Oryzias latipes: one gene and its partners. The protein of the gene in region 3 interacts with the protein of the main gene of each other region in a biochemical or structural test. Links are inferred from orthologs where the notes say so. Each region holds a gene or a part of one and is shown on either strand. Other genes may lie near its edges.

What was found.
Region 1: of the proteins of uba1 (region 3) and ube2g2, one has a biochemical effect on the other in vitro, tested with the Homo sapiens proteins (5 studies listed by BioGRID, with this or other methods). The link is inferred for Oryzias latipes from reciprocal best matches to the Homo sapiens genes UBA1 and UBE2G2.
Region 2: of the proteins of uba1 (region 3) and ube2r2, one has a biochemical effect on the other in vitro, tested with the Homo sapiens proteins (5 studies listed by BioGRID, with this or other methods). The link is inferred for Oryzias latipes from reciprocal best matches to the Homo sapiens genes UBA1 and UBE2R2.

Annotation. Positions count from the first base shown.
Region 1 is NC_019879.2:26,801,107-26,803,960, reverse strand, and holds the end of ube2g2 (ubiquitin-conjugating enzyme E2 G2), read left to right. Parts: intron 1-501; coding exon 502-620; intron 621-1,673; coding exon 1,674-1,814; intron 1,815-1,886; coding exon 1,887-1,999; 3' UTR 2,000-2,354; downstream 2,355-2,854. UniProt on the Homo sapiens protein: Accepts ubiquitin from the E1 complex and catalyzes its covalent attachment to other proteins. In vitro catalyzes 'Lys-48'-linked polyubiquitination. Involved in endoplasmic reticulum-associated degradation (ERAD).
Region 2 is NC_019863.2:17,248,031-17,251,530, forward strand, and holds part of ube2r2 (ubiquitin-conjugating enzyme E2 R2), read right to left. Parts: intron 3,062-3,500; coding exon 2,964-3,061; intron 1,494-2,963; coding exon 1,359-1,493; intron 1,238-1,358; coding exon 952-1,237; 3' UTR 1-951. UniProt on the Homo sapiens protein: E2 ubiquitin-conjugating enzyme that accepts ubiquitin from an E1 ubiquitin-activating protein, and catalyzes its covalent attachment to other proteins by an E3 ubiquitin-protein ligase complex.
Region 3 is NC_019865.2:13,790,528-13,794,027, reverse strand, and holds the end of uba1 (ubiquitin-like modifier-activating enzyme 1), read right to left. Parts: coding exon 3,406-3,500; intron 3,300-3,405; coding exon 3,214-3,299; intron 2,832-3,213; coding exon 2,739-2,831; intron 2,205-2,738; coding exon 2,013-2,204; intron 1,921-2,012; exon of another isoform or gene 1,800-1,920; intron 1,699-1,799; coding exon 1,597-1,698; intron 1,511-1,596; coding exon 1,410-1,510; intron 1,328-1,409; coding exon 1,192-1,327; 3' UTR 275-1,191; downstream 1-274. UniProt on the Homo sapiens protein: Catalyzes the first step in ubiquitin conjugation to mark cellular proteins for degradation through the ubiquitin-proteasome system.

The DNA of each region.
Region 1 (2,854 bases), on a different chromosome or scaffold from region 3:
TCCTCGCGCGCCACGCCTCCTTGCCAGTGACCTGCCTTGCAGCGTGCCTCTGCCGTACCAAAGCTTTGGTCCGGAGCAGAATGGTCCGCTTGATGCCAGTCTGAATACAGACCAAACGCAGGGTTCAGGACTCGATCCGGAACAAAGGATTTTCCTAGTCTAGACATACCCTGAAAGATCAGCTGGTGGAGAAAAGCTCTCAACATTTCCACAACAAAGACCAGAAAATAGTGGAGACTCTATTTTATCCCAACACGGTCTTCTGAGACTTGTTGCTGATTTTCTTGCTGTTCGTTTTTATTACGCCATGAGGAATACAGTAGCAGCAGGAGGATCCAACTACAAGGTCTGTAGGATCCTCTCCACAAGTCCTCGCTCTCTGGTGTTTCACGGAGTTTGAAGCTTCTCCAGGCGATGGGTTAGCCTCCAGTGTCGTTGTTGCGTTTTCTTGGTGTTTGGCGTTGTGAGGCTCTCACCGCCGCATGTGCGTTTGTGTTTCAGGGGCCCCGAAGACACGTGTTTCGAAGGCGGAGTGTTCCCCGCTGTCCTCAGCTTCCCCTCCGATTATCCTCTCAGTCCTCCCAAGATGAGGTTCACCTGTGACATGTTTCACCCCAACAGTGAGTCCGCCCACGGCTTTGTGCCTGCTTTCGTCACCATGGCAACAGATGTTGAGCGCACAAACCTGCGACCGCTTTAAGTATCTGTGATGGAGCAACGTTTGATTTCATCTTCTTGATGACTCAGGAAAACTGAAATTTGGATCTTAAAACCTCCACTCACACACGCACACACACACCCCTACACTCACACACGCACACACACACACACACCTCCACTCACACACACGTCTTGTGTCTTAGCCCGTCTGCAGACTTGTCTCGGCACGCTCCAGAGCTTGTTGCTGTTGGCGTGTTTTTACCGCTCTCTGATTAGTGGGGCCGAAGCCGTGATGTCAGGACACGAGCGCTCTGAGCGCGCTCAGTGCTGATGAGAAGACGAAGTGCTTGTCGCTCATCTTCACCAGCATGGCCCTGAGCCGAACTCCACGCTGCAACTGTTAAAGATGAAACGGAAGCTGCCGATAACAGCGGCTCGGTTTTCAGAGGAGATTTCCTGCAGCTGGACCGAGCGGCAGCGCCCTGAAACCCCCTGCACGGGGAGGGGGTCCAAACAGGATCAGATTAAAGACCCACTCCAATAGAATATGTGGTTTTGGTGTTTTTAAAATGTTTTTGTTGCATTTTTCTTGTGATAGAGGACATAGAGCATCGAAGCTTGTAACTGCCTTTCTTAGTATTTATTAATTTAAATCATGGTAAATCAGGAGCAGATGACAAAACAAAAACGCTCTCAGTTGTGATGTAGAAACTCCAAGGGGCAGGCTAAAGTCTCACTGCTCCACTCTCTTCCAATGCACACACTTCTGGACGACTAGATCCATGAACGTCCTTAAAACTGTTCGGCGGGAAACATCCAACATTTTTCACCATATTTGTTGCACCTCTCAGCTTGGGGTTGTGAGGGGCTGTAAGCTAACGGGAGAGAGTGTAAAAAAATAAAAGACGATACGAAATGAAATATAATCCCATTTAGCAGTTTAAAAAAAAAGTTGCTAAGAGTTCAGAGAAGCTAGAACCGGTGAACTAAAGCGTTCTCCTCCCCCGCCCCAGTCTATCCCGACGGACGGGTGTGCATCTCTATCCTCCACGCCCCGGGTGACGATCCCATGGGTTACGAGAGCAGCGCCGAAAGGTGGAGTCCAGTCCAGAGCGTGGAGAAGATCCTGCTCTCCGTGGTCAGCATGCTGGCAGGTATGGAACTCGTTTGCGTCTGACACCAGCAGGGACTCGGCGCCATTCACAGATTCAACCTGTCGTCCTCAGAGCCCAACGATGAGAGCGGCGCCAACGTCGATGCCTCGAAAATGTGGCGCGAGGACAGAGAGCAGTTCAACAAACTGGCTCAGAAGATCGTCCGCAGGTCTCTGGGTTTATGAGGAGGACGTCTCGTCAGGGCGTCTGTCGGTGAAAGACCATCACCATGGAAACCACCAGCACACAGAGCCGCTGACATGGACAGACTGATGGGAGGGTGCTCGTCAAGGCGCGTCAGCAGCCGTACACTGCATGTCTTCTTACCTCCTCTGCTAGTCTCCTCCCCCAGACTCTTGCTTTAGTGGTCACAGCGGCGTTGGACTTCTTCGGACTTTTTAGACTGTCTGTCTTCGTGACGCAGGATCCTCACGATGCGCAGTTGGGCTTTCACAGCCGGGCCGTCGTAGCTCTGCTGCAACGTCTCCTGTGGATTTGTCTGATTTCACAAATAGATCAATAAAGGCAATGAAAGAGTGAGGTGCTTGTTATGTTGGTTTACTCTCTGCAAAATGTGAGGAAGTGTGGGAATCTGCAGCCGTGAATCGCTGCATAACTTCAGTCAACCAGGAAGGAGGTGAGCAAAGAGGAAGACAAGACAACACAAGACTCTTCAAAGTTCTGGATCCTTCAGATTCTCCTCAAACCCTGTCTGAAGGTTGATCTGTAAGTCACAGTTTCTTAAAGTCAGGTGTTTAGCTTTCAAGCACAACTAAGATTTTAGACCTTTGAGTAATCTTACTAGGATTACAGTTTATTTAAAGAAAACTTGTTGCAAGTATTTCTTTATCCATTTTGTGCTGACTCAGAAGCAGATGATAAAGATGTCCTTTGAAAAAGCTTGTAGTTGTTACATAAATACTATAATCAGTTGGTCTAAAGCTCCCTGCTTCACTGCATTCTGATGCATCCACTTGCAAACAAATAGATCCTTCGTTTTCCTCGTCCGAGCTGGAATCTGGCCTAAAACTGTACGTCTG
Region 2 (3,500 bases), on a different chromosome or scaffold from region 3:
TACAGCATGTTTTCATCATTTACCAGTTCATGTTTGTTTTGAACTCAGAAGATGCTTTTTAATTCAAGAATGTAGAAAATCCAATCAAATAAGACAGAATAGAAAAATGTGTTGAATTCTCTTTACAACTTTTGCTGTAAATAATAAGTTTAGGCCTGAGCTTCAACATAAAGTGTGAAATTAGACAGTAAGGTAATTTTGGCAGGCTGATTTATGGAATAATAATTCTTAATATGGATAACTATTTTACACAAATGGAGGAAATCCTTAAATTTGACCAATTTTTTTGTATATTGAAAAATGTAATTCATTTTTGCATGATGGTAGACCTTTATTTTGAAGCACTGGTCAATCTGTTCTCTGAAGGACTGTATGGTGCAGTCTGAACAGCTTTACAGATGGGGAAAAATAGCAACACATCTATTATAATAAATCAATCAATAAAACAACAAACTGACTGAACTGAATGATGTGGTTTGTTTTAGCAAAGATTTGTTTAGTAGATTTTTCACTAAGCTGGTTTCACAATTGTTTGTTTCATTTAATTTGCTCATTAATTGTAACCCTTACGGTTTGGGGGATAATGTTTGATGTGGATTCAGTAACTTTTCTGTCCCAGAACAAGATTTTAGAAGATAAAATGATGTCAACTGATGATTGAACACTCTAAATTGTAAGGACTAACTGTAAAAACTGTGAACTAATTTAATCATGAATTCTGCAAATATCTTGAGTGCAAGCTGTATTTAAGGCAAACGGTGGAAACACCGAATTTTGACTTATGAGGACTGCTGCTCACAAGCATTTACTAACAGCTGTTTTATAAATGATGAAAGAAAATTTTGGCAGTAGACTTTTGAACCCACTGTGTGTGCAAACATTTGCAGACGCACACACACGCTGACAAAAGAAAAGGGGTGATGGGGGAGAAAAGATGGACCGCTCTGATCATCACGAGTCTTCGTTGCCAGAGTCGTCCTGGTTGTCATAGCGTCTGGTGGAGGTATCCCCGTCCTCCGAGGTGCCAAGGCCCCCCGCCTCACCTACAGACTCCATGTCGCTCTCATCTTCGTCTTCGTCCTCCTCCTCCATGTCATCGTCGTACAGGTCGTCGTAGAGGAGGTCGGAACTGCTGTCCTGAGAGGGAACCCGGGTCTGGACGCAGTACTCTGCCAATGTGGTCGGCACCTTGACTCCATCCCGCTCCGCCTCCGCTGCCGTCGAGATCACCTGCTTCCTGTTAAAGAAGAAAGCATAAATGAATCTGAAGTTTTTGTGTGCGTTTCTTTTCATAATGAATGGATTATCATCAAGCAGCATCAACTGCAGGTTACGCTTCGTCACAGACAGAGCAGTACCTAATAATCTCTGCGTACTCTTTGTCTTTGCCTTTGCTGTCCCTCCATTTGCGAAACATAACCGACGCGTCCACGTTGGCGGGGGAAAAGGTGTTGGGCTCATTGAGCAGAGAGATGACACTCAGCAGAATGGTCCTGCTCACAAACAATGAAAGACAAACAAACAGGTAAGAAAATGAGAACATTCATTTGGACGTCATGTGAAAGAAAGGTGCCTTTTTAAAGCTTCAAAGGCTTCGCTCTGGCACATTCAGACCCCCCCCCCCCCCCCCCCCCCCCCCCCCCCCCCCCCCCATGTGGCTCAATTACACGCTGCATTCAGTCCGCTCTGGCTTCAAAAGACAGACTCAGCATTTTACTTCAACTCTCTTCAACCTGCTGACATGCTAAATTTTAGAGGAGATGCACAAACCATCCCTGCTGCGGCATCTCCCCTTTAGCTCCACACAAAACGAAGGCACGCCACATAGAAGCTCACACAGGGCCAATGTTGATTTGCACCTCAAAATCTTCTGTAAATGACCTTCTGTGCTTTGTTTACTGCTGGAAATGCTTTCAATGAATACATGTGTTTTGATAGATTAGTATTTATTGATTGATTGGTGTATTTCAAGCAATGACATGAAGAATGCTGAACATGAGAAGTTAAATCATATTTGAGTATTGTCTTGGGAAAAGAACTTCATTTCCCATGATGCATATGACTGATATGGAGTTTTGGTAAACTAGTTTTTACTGCAGAAAAGTTCTGTGAGAAATAACAACATTTCACTTTTGCAAGCCCATATTTTTTTTAACATTTTGTGGGGTTTACAACAAAAACTTAGTTACTTACTTCATCGAATAGAAATTATCCATCACTGGTCAACAGTGGCAATGAATCTGGCAGGTATGCCAATTATTTAAGATGCACATTCTATTTGTGACAATAAATTTTTTTTTGTTTCTTGCAGATGCCTGTGATGTCATTAACAAGGTACAATATTAAATTAAGTGGGTAAAAGGGATGATTCTTTTAACTTTTATTGACTACGTGGCACTAAAACTATGTTAAGTGAAATCCACCCAAGCAAAAACGATTCCAAATGCATTTAAACTATTACTGATAATGAGAAGTGGCGGCTGTTTTTTTTTTTTTTTTTTTGAGCTGGCAAAACATTTGAAGTTCTGTCACTTTCGGCTTTTCCCATCAGGGGTCGCCACAGTGAAACAACCTCTCTTATGAGGATGAGTCGCATGGTAAACTTGGCAATGTTTTACGCCAGATGCCCTTCCTGACGCAACCCTCTCAATCTAATCAGGCTTGGGACCGGCACAGAAGCAGAGAAGGGGAACAAGGAGCAGCCCAGATTCGAACCCTGGTTTCAAGGATGGAAGGTGCCGCAAACCAGCACGAGCTAAACCATGTGAAGTCGATGCAGAAAATGAGTATATTTCCATTGAGGTTCTGATACTTCCTGGTCTAAGTAATTAAGGAGGTTTACAGACCAAATATGACAATTTTAAAATAAAAGAAATGAAAACCAAACCTCTCTTTTATGTCTCCCTTTATGTTTCTCTCTATGGGGGAGAGAAACATAAAGGGAGGCTGAACTGGGAAATTACCTCACATTCTGGGTGGGGTTCCACCTCTCAGAAGGTAGCTCTCCACTCTGTGGATCATCAACAGGGGGGTGCAAGATGGAGATGCACACATCCCCGTTCTGGAAACAGACCGAATGCCATTACATATGTGGTAGACACAGCCTCAGATGTAGTTAAAATCCAAGTTGTTATTAAAGGTTTTCCAAAAAAAACAAAAAACGAATAATGTGTGAGCCATTCAACACTAGAATAAACTGGCTGAGCTTTGGAGAAGTTGGAATAGTCAAGCAGCGGGCAGCCATGCGTTCAGCATTTATTTTAAATACGGTAAATATCTATGAGGCAAAGTCATTTTAATAAATCAATAATCAAAAAAACATTTTAATATAACAGTAATAATCCTTCTCTAATTTCAACAAATGTGTTTTTCTGTATTATAAAAACACACGGTGGAGTGAAAAAGAGTTTGCCTGTCCTTAATTCTTATCTGTTTGCATGTGTTACACCAAAATGTTTCTGCTCTTAAGAAAAATATGTTTATTTAAAAAAAAGGAAAAA
Region 3 (3,500 bases):
ATTTGACGTAGAGTGTCATATTAGACTGTGGTTACCAACTGATCTAGTTTTAGAAAACTTAAATATCACATAACCTACAGACATTTTTTCCACAGTAAATAGTCAACCAGTCTTTTAGCTGGTGAAGCTTATTTCCTGCATGTGATGCTCCACTTCACTGCTGAGCAGCATAAACCAGACTAGACTCAATAACCAAAGCAGACAACACACATAATTAAAATCAACGTCACACATTTTTACTGAATCAACTGAAAAGAAAAGACAGACACACAGGCGAGTTTTTCCATGTTTATTCACTATAACACTAAGTGCTCCCATTCAAGATACATCTCAACGCTTCGCTCTTAGATTTAATTAATTTTGGAGTTAACAAAGTAGAAAGACAGTTTGATGATCTACCAACTGTGTGCCAAAACTCCTTCCAAACACCCCCCCCTCCCAGAAAATAAAATAAAATGGAACAAAACACATGACATGGAGAGCATCAAGAGAAAACTATTGTGGTGTGCAGCAGCCTGAAGAAAGCCAGAGTGCTGAAACGAGGCTTTGAGGGTGCTTCAAAGTGAAGGAAGGGAAGGAAATTCATCAGTTTGATGCTGTAATTCCATTTCCAGTTGAGGAACAAAAAATAAAGGGAGAATTGGGTTTTTACGTTGTTGAATAGCCTTGATTTAAAAAAAAAAAATCATGTATTAAAAAGTAACAGTATGAGGGGACAGATCTATTAGAAATGGGCTCCAGAAGAGAGGAGAGCAAGCAGGGTGTGTTTGAAAGCTCTGCTTCAGAATGATAGTTAGGTGTTATTGTACATACAGACTAGTTGGGCTTTGCAATGAGGGCACCGAGGCTTTTGAAGTTTAAAGGTTCTACTACAGAAAAACATTAGGATGTCCAATTTACATGCTCCCTCCCTCTCTCCAACAAATCTCCTCTTCCCACAGTCAAGCACAGAGTGGAACTGTAACACACAGACAGGTATCCTTCTGTCAGCTTACTGGGGCTATGTACAGTCAGGCACAGGTTTAAACAAACCACGGGCCTAAAAAAGGAAACCAATTGATCCAATAGAGCCGATCTGGATCAATCCACCCACCCTTTGTCACACCACTATTTCCCCACTAAGAACACCCCCATTCCTTGCATCCCCCCCTAGCAACTACCACCCTCCTGTGGGTGGTCTCCGGGTGAGGCTCAGCGAATGGTGTATCTGACGTAGGGCACTTCCACATCTTCATCTGAAGTATCGTTACAGCAGAGCTCGAACACCAGAGCTTTAACGTGCTTGCCCAGCTTCTTTTTGGACACCTTGGTCACAATCTCAGTCATCCTGCAGAAATCAGAACAGGAAAAACTCAGTTTGTGGAAGGAAAACGTAAAGAGGCTGGACTCTCGCGTATGCAGTTACTTACGGTAGGTCAAGCCTCTCTTTAAGCTTGGCAGCGGGCATGAAAAATGAATAGAGCATGGACACTCCCTGAGAAAGCATGGTGATCTCCAGCTGATGCTCGTTCTGCCAAACAGGGGAGAAAAAACAAAGTTACTCATTGCAAAAACAAAAAAAGTTGGAGAAGAAGCACCTAAATTTGCTGAACATACTTTAAAGTAATCCAGAAACTGGCGGAGTGTCATCTCTTCACCGTTGGCCTGCATTCCTGTTACTTCAAAGCGATCCCACAGACTCCATTCAGTTTCATAGTACTGGAAATAAATGAAAAATAAAGTTACAGCTACTGTAGGTAAAAAAAATAGACATCACACAGAGCTGCAACAATGCTATAAGCGCATATTTGGTAAACACGTCTCCTCAGCACACACTGATCACACCAGTGTGAGAAGGTGAGTTGAACTCACTTGCATCCAGTCAGAGTTAATGCAGCTGACTGATGCATCAGTATTAGCATGGCTGAATCATCACAGGAGCCAGAAGCAGACTAAAACTTTATCACTGTGTCACAATCGTCACACGTTTTATAATCTTTACAAACTTGTGGGATAAAACAGCAACACCTCACCTTATGTTTTGGAGCAGCAATGGGCTCAGAGTAGGCAAAGAAAGGCAGGGCTAAGTTCATGAAACCATTCTTGTACGTCTCAAGCTTCTTGTGTCCTTGCACGACCTTGATGAGCTCCAGGCAGACCAGGCCAACAACTGCAGCGGTGGTGGTGGCAATGGCAGGAATGATCTTGCCGGCAATCAGTTTGCTCTGGAAAGAACAGTAAACCAAAAGAGAAATTCACAATCGATCAGCTAATGAACGGAGGTTAAACAATGAATGAAAAACACTCACTTTGGTTTGCTTAACATTTCTAATTTATAAAAAACATACAGACCAAGTTTGAGGACGTTTTATATGTCACAATCACTCCTTCCAAGGTTAATTGGTTACTCTAAATTGTCTCTCACATAAGTGTGAATGTGAGAGTGCATGGGTGTGATTGGGGCCCTGCGACAGACTGGCGACCTGTCCAGAATGTCCCCAGCCTTCACCCGCAAGTGGCGGGATAGGCTCTGGCATCGCCGTGACCACAAAAGGGAATAAACAAATTAGAAGATGACCGAATGACTCCTCCCTTCACCAGTCCAGAAAAATTCAGACAGATACATTATTGAAAGAGAAAGAACAGGGGAAAAAAACTTAAAGTATTTCTGCCCAGAGGTTTTGCTATGCGAGAATCAAAAAAACAAAAAGACGCCCTTGTTAGTTGGCCAAATGAGGTCATGTGAATGTTTAGCCCACCTTGTGTCTGTCTGCAGGCGGAATGTCATAGTTCTCTGCTCTAAGGTTGGATGCGGCCACAATAAAGTCCATGTGGAAGTTGGTGTCATCATCCTGGAGGGGCAGAAATAAAACCATTTTTAAAACATTTCTTCTCGGGTGATCCATGTTCTTCCTACACTACAAAATAAATGAGGCTGTAGCAAGTAAAAGGGGGTAATTTAGTGATAAATAGAATGACATTTTCTAAATACAAACACACAACGGGGTTCATTTGCATAGAGAATCACGTTATTACGACATACAAACTAATAATGACATTCACGTTTCATTCATCTAGTAAATCGATTTTTACTTCTACGTTCCTGTATTATTTTGATGACAACAAAAAAATATACAGAATTACTTTTTACATTTTTTTTTAGAAATGACAAACATTTGTAACATGACGATCAAAGAAAGACTGATTATGTCTGACGTGAAAGAAATTGAGTACCTTTTCAAACTCGATGGGGTTTAATTTGAACTGGAAAGACTCTGGTGACGGCAATTTGGTTTTTAGTTCTTCCAGTTTAGAGTCATCTGCATTAAAGAGATCCATGTCACAATAGGCCTTCAGCAAAGACAATTATACACAAACATTTCTGAAAGATTTTCAATGCTGTCTTGTGCATAAATACGGTCTTACCAACAGAAGAGTTGCTCGATTGCAGCTCCTGGTCTGAGACGTGAATTTTAACCCCAGAACGGGGGGTAAAAGTGGGCACCTTGACCTCTTGCAAA